Linked DNA regions of Drosophila melanogaster. The protein of the gene in region 1 interacts with the protein of each later gene in a pairwise test. Each region holds a gene or a part of one and is shown in the gene's direction. Other genes may lie near its edges.

Region 1 (5,244 bases):
TGACCGCGCTGGAATAGGGCGGATCCGTGGAGAGGCTTGTACATGTCCACCTGGCAGGAGATGTTCCTCAGCTGGTCGTAATCTCGTCCATCGCAACGCAGACCCCGCTCAAAGATCAGTTCGCGAAAAATGGTTCTACTGGTCTGGTTGAACTGCTCGGTAATAAGCGACGGTTCGGTATCCGGAAACGAACTCCACACCTTGTCAATAACGTTGGAGCGCACCTCGTTAACCGCATTGTCACGAGACATCTTGTCGTGCGTCGAATCCTGGAAGATCTCTCTCAGCCGCATTTCGCACATGCTACGAACGGCTTTCCCCAGTTCGGGATCTACTTCGGCAGCCACTTCCACTTCGCGCTTCTGTCGACCATAGGCCTTCTGCAGTCGCTCGATCTCGTGGATAATGAATTGGGCCTCACGAGTCCCTTGTTTGATAGCCTTTAGAAGGTCCTGCTGAAGAACCACATTCCCCTTGCCCTCCAACATAACGACGAGGTTTTGTTTGGTGGCGGAGACTACCAAATCCAGTTGCGAAGTCTGCAGCTCCCGGCGCGTGGGGTTGATCAGCACCTCGCCGTCGCAGAGGCCAACGCTTTGTAGGATTAAAAGAGTTATAAGCGGTTACCAGTTAGATTCGTTCGTGAGTACTCACCGCACAGCTCCAATGGGTCCATTCCAGGGAATGTCACTTAGAGATAGCGCCATGGAAGCGGCATTGATTGCAAGCACATCCGGACTGTGCACCGCGTCCATAGCCAACATGTTGCACACCAGCTGTGTCTCCGTGCGATAATCTTTGTGGAAGAGCGGGCGTAGCGAACGGTCGATAAGGCGGGCGGACAGGATCTCTTTTTCCGAGGGGCCCAGTTCGCGGCGCATAAAGTTCATGGGTATTCTGCCAGAGGCGGCGTTTTTCAGTCGGTAGTCAACCACCAGAGGCATGAATCCCTGGCCGGGATTTGGCTTCGCCTTGGCCACCGCGGTGACCATGACGGCGGTATCGCCCATTTGGCACACAGCTGTTCCATTCGCAAATCTCGCCAGGCGGCCGGAACTGAAGGTCATGTTACGTCTGCGGAGGATTCAAGACTTTGCTATTGGAACTCGGAGTGGAGGCCACGAACTCACCCATTGCTGAAGTTGACTTCCACGGAGGGCGCTTCTCCGTTGGAACTGCTTTGGATTCCTCTCCTTCCTCCTGGGCAGGACAAACTTAGGCATTTGAGGCGATAGTTGAGCAGCTTCAGCGATTTCCGTGTGAAAATCATGGCCATTACCTAAAAGTGCCGGGTGATTCCGGCTGAGGCGACAGTTCTGTACGCTGTATTTTCATGGTTATTTAAGAAATAATTAGTGGTCAAAATCTTACAATAAAAGCCCTGTACGTTTCTTGAGACTTGGAAGTTAGACTTAGAGCGCCTCAACTATTTGTATTGTTTAATTCAGTTATCTCAAAACTAGAATGCCCATTTAAAACAAAGTAGAGTGTGCAACATGTGTGCGTTCGGCGTTGCCACCTGGCAAGGGTAACAACAAATGAATTATATAGACAAACTATTACACGGATTATGTCTTAGGAATAATGTAGTAAATATTAATACAGCGTATTTTAAAAAAATTAATTTCGTTTCCAATAAGATATTTAGAAGGGTTCCCAGAAAATGAACTATTAGCTTGTGTCCCCGATAATGTCAAATTTGCAGTGCTGCCAACTCTTAGCAATGTTAGTTACAGCATGCAAGAAACAGCATTTAAATTCCTTTTCAGAAACGAAGAATTAAGACGGTATGTTCTGAAAGGTCCTAAAACGACCAACAGAATGACGCGACGATGTCCAAATCGCCAGATCTAAGTAATTCAAGCTAGCTAGAAAATAGCTGAGGCATCAGCACTACACAGTCCGCCAAAATTAGTCCGTCTTTTTACGCGTTTAGAGTTTTTTACCGCGAGTCGAAGACGTCTTTCACTAACTCAACGACGGTCTTACAGAAGACTCCAATATTTTTCGAGCAGGCAATTCGCGGATCCATCGTTAATTTTGGGCACTTGCAGAAAGCCCAGTTGCGAACGTCGTCGTGTGTCGTCTTAGAAAAGCCACTCCTCCAACCGGAAAACCGCAAGAGCGTCGAGCCCTTGTTTTGCGAGCCTTTTCGAAAAAAGCTGGGAATTTCACGCCGTATTTTTCGTATCTTTTCCGTCAACGAAACGCCGCGTGTGTCGTAGTGTGCGTGTGTGTGTTCTGTGTGCCCGCCCATCTGTGCATGTGTGAGAGCGCGCCTGTGTGTGTGAATTTTGGTGAGAGCCGCAACAACAACCGAAAAGAAAACCAAAATCGACAAATGCGGTCAAATTGAAAAGAAAAACAAAAAATCAAAGAGTATTCTTGCGCAAAGCCAAAAGGCAAAGTCAAAAAAGAGCGCAAAGCCAAAAAAACGCAGATTTCCCAACGAAAAGGCCGGAAAATTGCCCACTAGGCGTGTCGCTGCTTCTTCTTGTTCTTTCAAATTGTTTATGCTGCAATTGCAGTGGTGTGCGAAAGGAGTGGTAGAGAGAGAGAGAAGGAAAAGCGTCTTATCAACGCCCGCTTTCTTATCAGAACCCACACATTTGTTGCGAAAATTCCAACCAGCCGAAACTCACAGTGAAGCTTTAAATAGCACATCAAACAAACAGGTAAGTCTCATTAATCAGCTTGAAATCACCTTATTTTCTACTGCTCCTCGGTGGTCACAACTCACTGGCTGTTCCCCTCCTTTGCACTTAAGCACTTAACGGTAACTGTAAATTACACACACGTTGGCCTTGTCTCTCCTGGCGATTAATTGCATTAATGCCGCAGGACTCGCGCCATCCCTGTCACCCCACGCCAATCGATTAAAAAGTGAAAGCAATCGGGAAATGCTTATCAGTAGGTCCTCCTTCTTTGCTTTTTAAATGCATAAATACCCATGCACAGATGCACACATGCAAGCAATCAGCCCAACAATGCACTATATGAATATTTATAGCTCATTATTTATTGTCTCGCTGTTCCCGTCCATCATTTGACCCGCTAAAGAGGGCAGGTTGGTAAATAAATGAAAAGTTATCGAGATAATCGGTGGAATTGTTGGATCATTAATAATTTGTTTATTTTTTAGTTAACCTCTGACAATTTATCAATGACTTAGTAGACATAAGTCAGCTTGTTATTTTTGCATTTACCAAGATATCCGGAAGTAACATCTATTGCTCACACAAAAATATATTGGGCATTCACAATAGTGATGACTCACTGCCATGCGTGTTCACTGATTATTTTGACTTCTAAAATCATACATTTTATATTTACGTAAAGTTTTCAGAGCTGATATAAACATTAATTCAAGATATTTATTTATTAATCACTTGCACACTACTTCCAAAATACTGTACGTTTTATGCAAAATGTCGGAATAACATCAGAGATGTGATGCACAGGAAAATTCCCCATAATTCATGAAACCTATTTCCAAAATTAACAGAAAACTATTTGCGGTACTCGAACTCAAAATCTGTATTTTTATAGCACGAACATTGGAAAAGAACGCAAACCAATTAGTGAAACCATTTTGAAATCACCATAAATCAGCGTGATTGCCTGGCAATAAATTCCCGTTTCCATTTGCAGCTGACAAATGCGAGTCGTTAAAAATAGTTTTTCCCCAAAAGCGTAACTTTCCCCCGCTTTTCAAGGGCGACCCTCGCAATGTCCCGATGTACTTTCCTTATCGCTTCTGCATTTCGAGTTCTTTTTTCTGTGGTACGTCATCGGCAGCCGGGTGTCTCTGATTGTTTGAGAATCGCCTCGCCGGCTGCATAATTAAGACGAGCTGGACGTTTAGCTGATAAACGTTTCCACTTTTCATCGGCGGATGGGAGTCAATGTGCCATTCACAGAAGACCTCTACTCTGGTACACAGATGGTGATTGTTAAAGTCCAAGATCTCTGATGTGTGACCCCATGGGGTGCCCTTTTCAACTGTCAGGTCGCAACTATTGTTTCCATGTTTCGAGGGCTTGCGTCACAGTTTATCGACTCGAGTTGCGAGCTGCGAGCTGTGAGTCCCGAGAACCCGCAACCCATTCCGACAGGATGACGTAGGCAATTGGCAGAAACATGTGTATCCTGGGTATCCTGGGCCCCGTGCAGACAACAATAAACCATCAGCGCCAACCCCATGGGCAAATAAAACCCAATCGAATATTATTATCAATGAGGGCAGGACCCAAACAACGAACGCCAGTTCGAGCGCGAAGGAGGGTTGGCCACATGCTGCTCTTCCCTTGGCAGGATATCATTGCCAGCACTTGGACCCAGCCCACTGAACTTCCCAATTCCAATTCCAATCCCGACCACGCCCACATGCCATCATCGTCGCCTTCTGCGCTAATTTGGCGCGACTTTGACACTTGTTAGCCAATATGTTTTTGGCTCGTGTTAATGGCCCAACGGGAATTGATATTAATTGCGCCGCACGCCCCTCACGCCGCCCGAACTGGGCGTGGTCGTCGGTCAATATTGTTGGTCTCTAGAAGAAAAAAAAAAACAACAGAAAACGAAAAACACAAATGGCCCGAAAATCAGCTTAAATCAATTTTTTGTGGTCGCCGCCTTTTGTTCACTTGCTGGTTTTTGGTCCAAAATCGGCTTACCAACTTCGGTGCCTGTTTTTCTTGTGACTTTGGGCTTTACAAAGAGGCTCTAAGGTTCCCTTCTCGTTCAATCTAATTAATCCTGCCTTCCTTGATTGAGAATATGGGATTTGCCTTGCCCTTAAGAAAACCAGATTTCCTCACCCTTTGGCAGCCAATGAAAACTGAAAGCGCTCCCAATGTTTCCATTTTTCCAGGCCCTGTGTTTTCCTTTCATGTGCCCTAATAAAACTAAATTCAATTAGAACTTGCAGTTCGAGTTCCTTGTGCGTGTGGGAAAAGTTGGAGTGAAATGTGAGAAAAGTTTTGCGGAATATGTCGGAAAAGTGAAAGAGGGATGGGTAGGATCAGTGGCAATGGGCGGATGGCACATGGAGGGCTCATTAGTTGCCAAACGAAATCTCCGGAGGGCATGCAAATTTAATCGAATCACTTCGAGTGAAAAGCCACTTAATGATGGTTCCTTTCCTTTTCATTTCTAATAGATGAAAAGGCATCTGCCTAATGGGTTTTGAAAACAAGCAGCGTGAAAGGTTCCTTCCTTTAGGTCCTACTAATATGAACATAA
Region 2 (5,102 bases), on another chromosome or scaffold:
ACTGAAGCGGAGCATGCGATTTCCGCTTTAATGTAATTTTGACAACGCACACACGATGCTCGAGTGGTCATGGGGGATGGGGGCGGTGCTGGGGGGTTGATGTAGGGGGGCGGTTGCGATTGAGTATCGTCATCAAGGAAATGTCATGATAAATCTTACTCGACTTTCCCGTGGCCGAAACCGTTACAGTAGCAACTGCGAATTCGATTTCGATTTGGGTTTTCGATTTCACTTTAAATTGGTTTTGATACTCTGTAATTAGGAGATCGCGATAGGGGGAAAATTAAACATTAAACACTTATTAAGTCACATGAATTTTTGAAATGCATCAAAAGGCATTAAAACAGATAAGAAGTATTTCGACAAAATAGAAATGCCATTTTCTATTTTGAATGCAGGCAGATGCATTTTACTAAAAAGAGTATCTTGAAGCTACAACGACTTGATTTCTTTTTTATAATTTTCATATTTACAGCTCTCTTATCGAGCGATTTGTTTTGCATGTTCCATTTATCTGATTTGCTGGATATTCCATTACCTGTTAACTCGATTGCAGCGGCATTTAGCAGTTGTGGAACCACTTTTCGACGCCACTGTCTTCATCCCCCCCATCGACTTTAATGCACTTATTCTCCGTCCGTTTTTTGTGCATATTGCGACGCCCTGAAGTCTGTTTCCTTATCACCCTCTTTTCGAGAACCATTAAAGTTCTTGGTGGTGACCCGCAGCAGAATCGTAAACCCAGCTTGACTCATTGATGCATCGATGAGACATTTATATTTTCCAGTTGTCCCCACACTACTTTTTCCTATTCCAAGTGCCATAGAAATGAGGAAAATCTGAGTAAAATCGTCGCTTATTATGCGCAAATCAATTTCCCAGCACCTGAAAATGTCAAACGAAGGTGTAAGAATCAGATAAGAGAAAATCTTGATGGATTGTTTAATTAATTAACCAAAGTCTAAATGGTGATTGATTGGAGCATTGAACTAGACAATGGTTTCTATTCATGGGGCGTGTTAAAGGGGGCGGTGCTGAAAACCCTGAGATATCCGATAGCTGGAAATGGTAAATAAAAATAAATAAAGACGTCTCTATATGTACGGATTACACTTAATTTGTATATCGGCAGCAATAAAATGAAAACGAGCTGACTTAGCGGAATCCCAGCTCGGTCATTTATCACCAGCACAGTAAAACTGAAATACAATCCAAAACTAGTAAAAACGTTTAACTGGCGCTTAAGAATGGAATATACCTTTTATATTTATAAAAGAGTACAATATCCACTTCTTTAGTGGTTTCTAAATTAAACCTAAAAAATGTAAATTTAATTTTTAATAAAACACATTAACCCCAAAAAGGTGAGAATATTTATTATTTATAGTACATTGTTTGAATTAAGTCCTCACATGATTAGTGAGAGGTTTGGTTTTATCTTTTATATGTTAATTGCGCTGTTATGTTACTGTTATTGCATTGTATTGATTCATCGCTTCTAAATAAATAAATATATAAAAAAAAAAACATTGTTTGAACAGATTTTTGATGCTTATATGATCGCTTTAAGTACATATATTCCCAATTAAGATCAGAAGTACCCGGTATGTTTAAAATAATGAAATCGCAAGAAATATAAGTAAATTCAGAAAAAAACACTATGCAATAAAACGTGCGAAGTTATAAAAACAATGGAAATGGAAAGAGAGGGAGAGCAAAAACAAGCGAGGGAGAACGCTCCAGATAATGGAGCTCGGTTCTAAAAAGTCGGTTCTTGGGGCTCTGTTCCGATTCTTTGTTGCGGTCAGTCGGAAAATCGAAGGCGGCGCGACGCGACATCATATCGAAACCCCAACGAAACGCGATTTATGCAACGAACGAATTCTAATTTATGCAAAGAAAAAAAAAATGTAGACATAAATTAATTTTATAACTATAGTCACATTGTGTAATGAGTGAATATAATAAATCTAAGTGTAAGCCCGGAGTAGAAATGATAAGAGTACCAATTCGCAGTGAAAAATATAAATTAAAAATATAATATATTCTACAATCTATATGGAAAGTTATAAACGTATATATTTCAATTAACTTAATAAATTCATTATAATAAAACAAACTAATAAAAAACACATGCAATTACTAGAGTACATAGTACATATTCTGTTAGTACATATTCTCAAGAGTAACCTTTCAAAATTTAGTAGATTTAGGCGATAAAAATGAGTTCCTACAGGACATTGGTGGATCATGGCCATCCGATTATAGTGGGAAGCAGTGAAATATCGCTGGCCCCGAGTTCGGCAGCCAGTTCGCCCAAGCCCCTACACCGGATGATCAAGTACTGGCGCAACAGTTCCGGAAAAATTCCGGGTCTCCGCAAAAGCGAGAGTTTCGCCGAGTATCGTCGCCATTCATCCAACTCGGCCACAATTTCGGGAGGATCAGGGGGCAGATCGAGCACTTCGAGTGCCAGGCAATTGCAATACCAGCGACTGGAGATGGAAAGCTGCGAGAATATAGATATGCTGACAGAACCACTAAGGTAAGTGCACTTAATGATAAAAACTAGTTTTTTTTTTCAATTTATTCATTAATAAATTACTCATTTTTATGAGTGCCAAGATATTAATGTGGTTAATCGTTTAGAATCAGAGCATCAGGTGGTCAAGAATTTAAAATTTGTTTGTGCCTAGCATTTGAAAGGTTTTAAAATGATTTTACCCATTTATTACCTACACATCGTAAACAAATCAATTTTATTTCTTTCTCTTGTAAATCACTTCCATGGAGACCGAGATAAATGTTGAATGACCAAATATATGCATGCATTCCATACCTGTTTATATAGAAACTACCAAAGAAGTGGCATCCATTGTCTTGCGGTTCACTTTGATGTGTAACCCCAAAAATGTGGGGCATGCAACAGTTGGTTATCTGTTTTCGGGTTTTCGAAACGCCCCTCGCAGCTGCGGTTTATCGTGTGGTTATCAGCTGTTCGTTATCAGCCGCCAACGAAAACATCGGCAAGCATGTGGATGATAAAAACGAGGGAACAAGTGCAACACGCCGACGTCATTTTGTGGATTGTGGAAACAGTTCGCGGGAGAACTGCATTTTTTGCATTTACAAATACAAGTCGAAAGTTTGTGAACACTTTTCAAAGTGATTCTTTTTCCACAAATTGTTAGATTTGGTGTACAAGACAAAAAACAATGTTTAGTCAACAAAAGTTGACGGAAAATTCTTTTTTATAACTACTATAACATACATACATACATATTCAATTTCGTATTCTGTAATACTTATTCGGGTTGACATCAGAAATCCAGAAAAATGGTATATCCAAATTGTGAAAATACTTTCTCTCGAAAAAGGCTCATGAAAGAACGTGTTCTGGAATAACACCACTTTCCAAGGGGGCGAACGCCGACTGTTTTTGGCTCGTGCCTCTGTTTACTTGTGTATTGGTGTCCCACGCCGGTTCCGGTTATTCGGTTTGTTTTGGTTATCTCTCGGTGGAGGGAAATCATTGCCTTCTGCATACTTTTGGGGTACACTGTGCAAATAATTAACTGGCAACTGCATTGCCGGCTTCTTTGAATTGCATTGTTTTCCAAACTGTTTACTTTGGCTAATGCGGGCAGCTCCGCTCTCCCCTGGCAACAACTCTTTCTGTTTGCCTAAACTGCGCGCATTTGGAATGTAAATAAATGTAAATAAACAAGAATTTCGCCCCCATAAAGGCAACAAAAGCAGTGAGAGCAGAACAACAACAAACTCGCTCTCTCGCCTTAACAAAAATGCAACGTGCACGTACAGTTAAGGTCGCAGCAATAGCACGGATTTTTATAAAATTATCTGCTCTTTAATATGAATTAATGCATATCTGTATCATCACATGTTTTACATGTTATTTCATATATCATTCCACTCTTCTTTGTCTGCGCTGCATTAAATAATTTTTATCTGTCTAAGCTTCATAATATATGTGTACATAAATAAAATCTCCATAACTGGATCCACAGCCACTATTATTTTGGCCCCCACTGTGGAGTTTGTGGATCGCATTCGCCAGTGGAACCTGAAATCTGAGCTTCGTGCGCAACGATGTTGTTCGTCGCTCGCATTCGTGTTCGTTTGGGGCCAGACCCGCAGCTTTTCTGCTTTGCGACTCAGAGTCGATTTGTGAACCAACTCGTGTGGGCGTCCGAGCCAGCGAGTGTCCGACTAAGTGTGTGCGTGTGCGAGGACGACCGGGCGTGTGTGTGAGCGTTGTCGCGCGTCTGCGTCGCGAAATCCTGATATCGGGAATCGGAACAGGAATCGTAATATATTTCGGGTCTGCGGTCCAGACGCTGATGCGTCTTCTTCATTAGCTGTTCGAAAAGTAACGGTAGAACGCAAAGCAGTTGCAAATCGACAGCAACAGAAGACGGCGAGAAGCGCCACGAATGGAAAAATCAAAACAAACAAGAAAATTGTTAAAAAAGAAGAGCAAACAACAAACGAATACTCGAATATGTGAAAGTGCTAGGTAATCAACCAAAAAAATTATAAAATTAATATAACCAATTAAGGCAATGATGATTTGTGGTTTTGAATTCTTGAAAAAAGTGAACAAAAACAAATCATGCTAAGCATAACACGCAAACTTTCTTCAACAATTAATTTGCAATTGATCCCACTGAGGCGGTTTCCTAAACAGCCTAAACAAAAGAAAGAAAACGAAAGCAATAAATAGACAAACAATAAGCAAAATGTTTGACGAACTTTTAATTGAACGTGTGTGCTTGAATAACAACAAATTGAAATCGCATTTGTTGGCCTTATCAAAAAATTAGAAGCGAAAGTGGCAAAGGTGTCTTAATGGGCAAGACAAATAGAAATCAAAATAAGTTTGCCAAAAAAAAAAAACAGCTGCATAAATACGCGCACGTAGTTAAAAGTGAAATTTTTAAACAAAAATCGTTGGCTGAAATTGAAATGTAACGAGCAAAGAATCCAAAAGCAGAAGCGAAGAAAGTGTTGAAACCAAGTGAAATTGTGTGCGTAATATTTTGTGCAATTCAATTACGAAAATTCCATCCAATAACAAGTGC

What was found.
Region 2: the proteins of Gprk2 (region 1) and RapGAP1 interact in a two-hybrid assay, tested with the Drosophila melanogaster proteins (one large-scale study listed by BioGRID).

What each region holds. Positions count from the first base shown.
Region 1 is NT_033777.3:31,403,282-31,408,525, forward strand, and holds the start of Gprk2 (G protein-coupled receptor kinase 2), read left to right. Parts: upstream 1-1,963; 5' UTR 1,964-2,675; intron 2,676-5,244. Other genes in the region: PNPase (polynucleotide phosphorylase), read right to left, coding at 1-594, 655-1,074, 1,131-1,276. UniProt on the Drosophila melanogaster protein: Specifically phosphorylates the activated forms of G protein-coupled receptors. Required during oogenesis and embryogenesis; component of a signaling pathway that functions during egg chamber maturation.
Region 2 is NT_033779.5:7,575,680-7,580,781, reverse strand, and holds the start of RapGAP1 (Rap GTPase activating protein 1), read left to right. Parts: upstream 1-1,801; 5' UTR 1,802-2,222; coding exon 2,223-2,545; intron 2,546-4,174; exon of another isoform or gene 4,175-4,537; intron 4,538-4,768; exon of another isoform or gene 4,769-5,048; intron 5,049-5,102.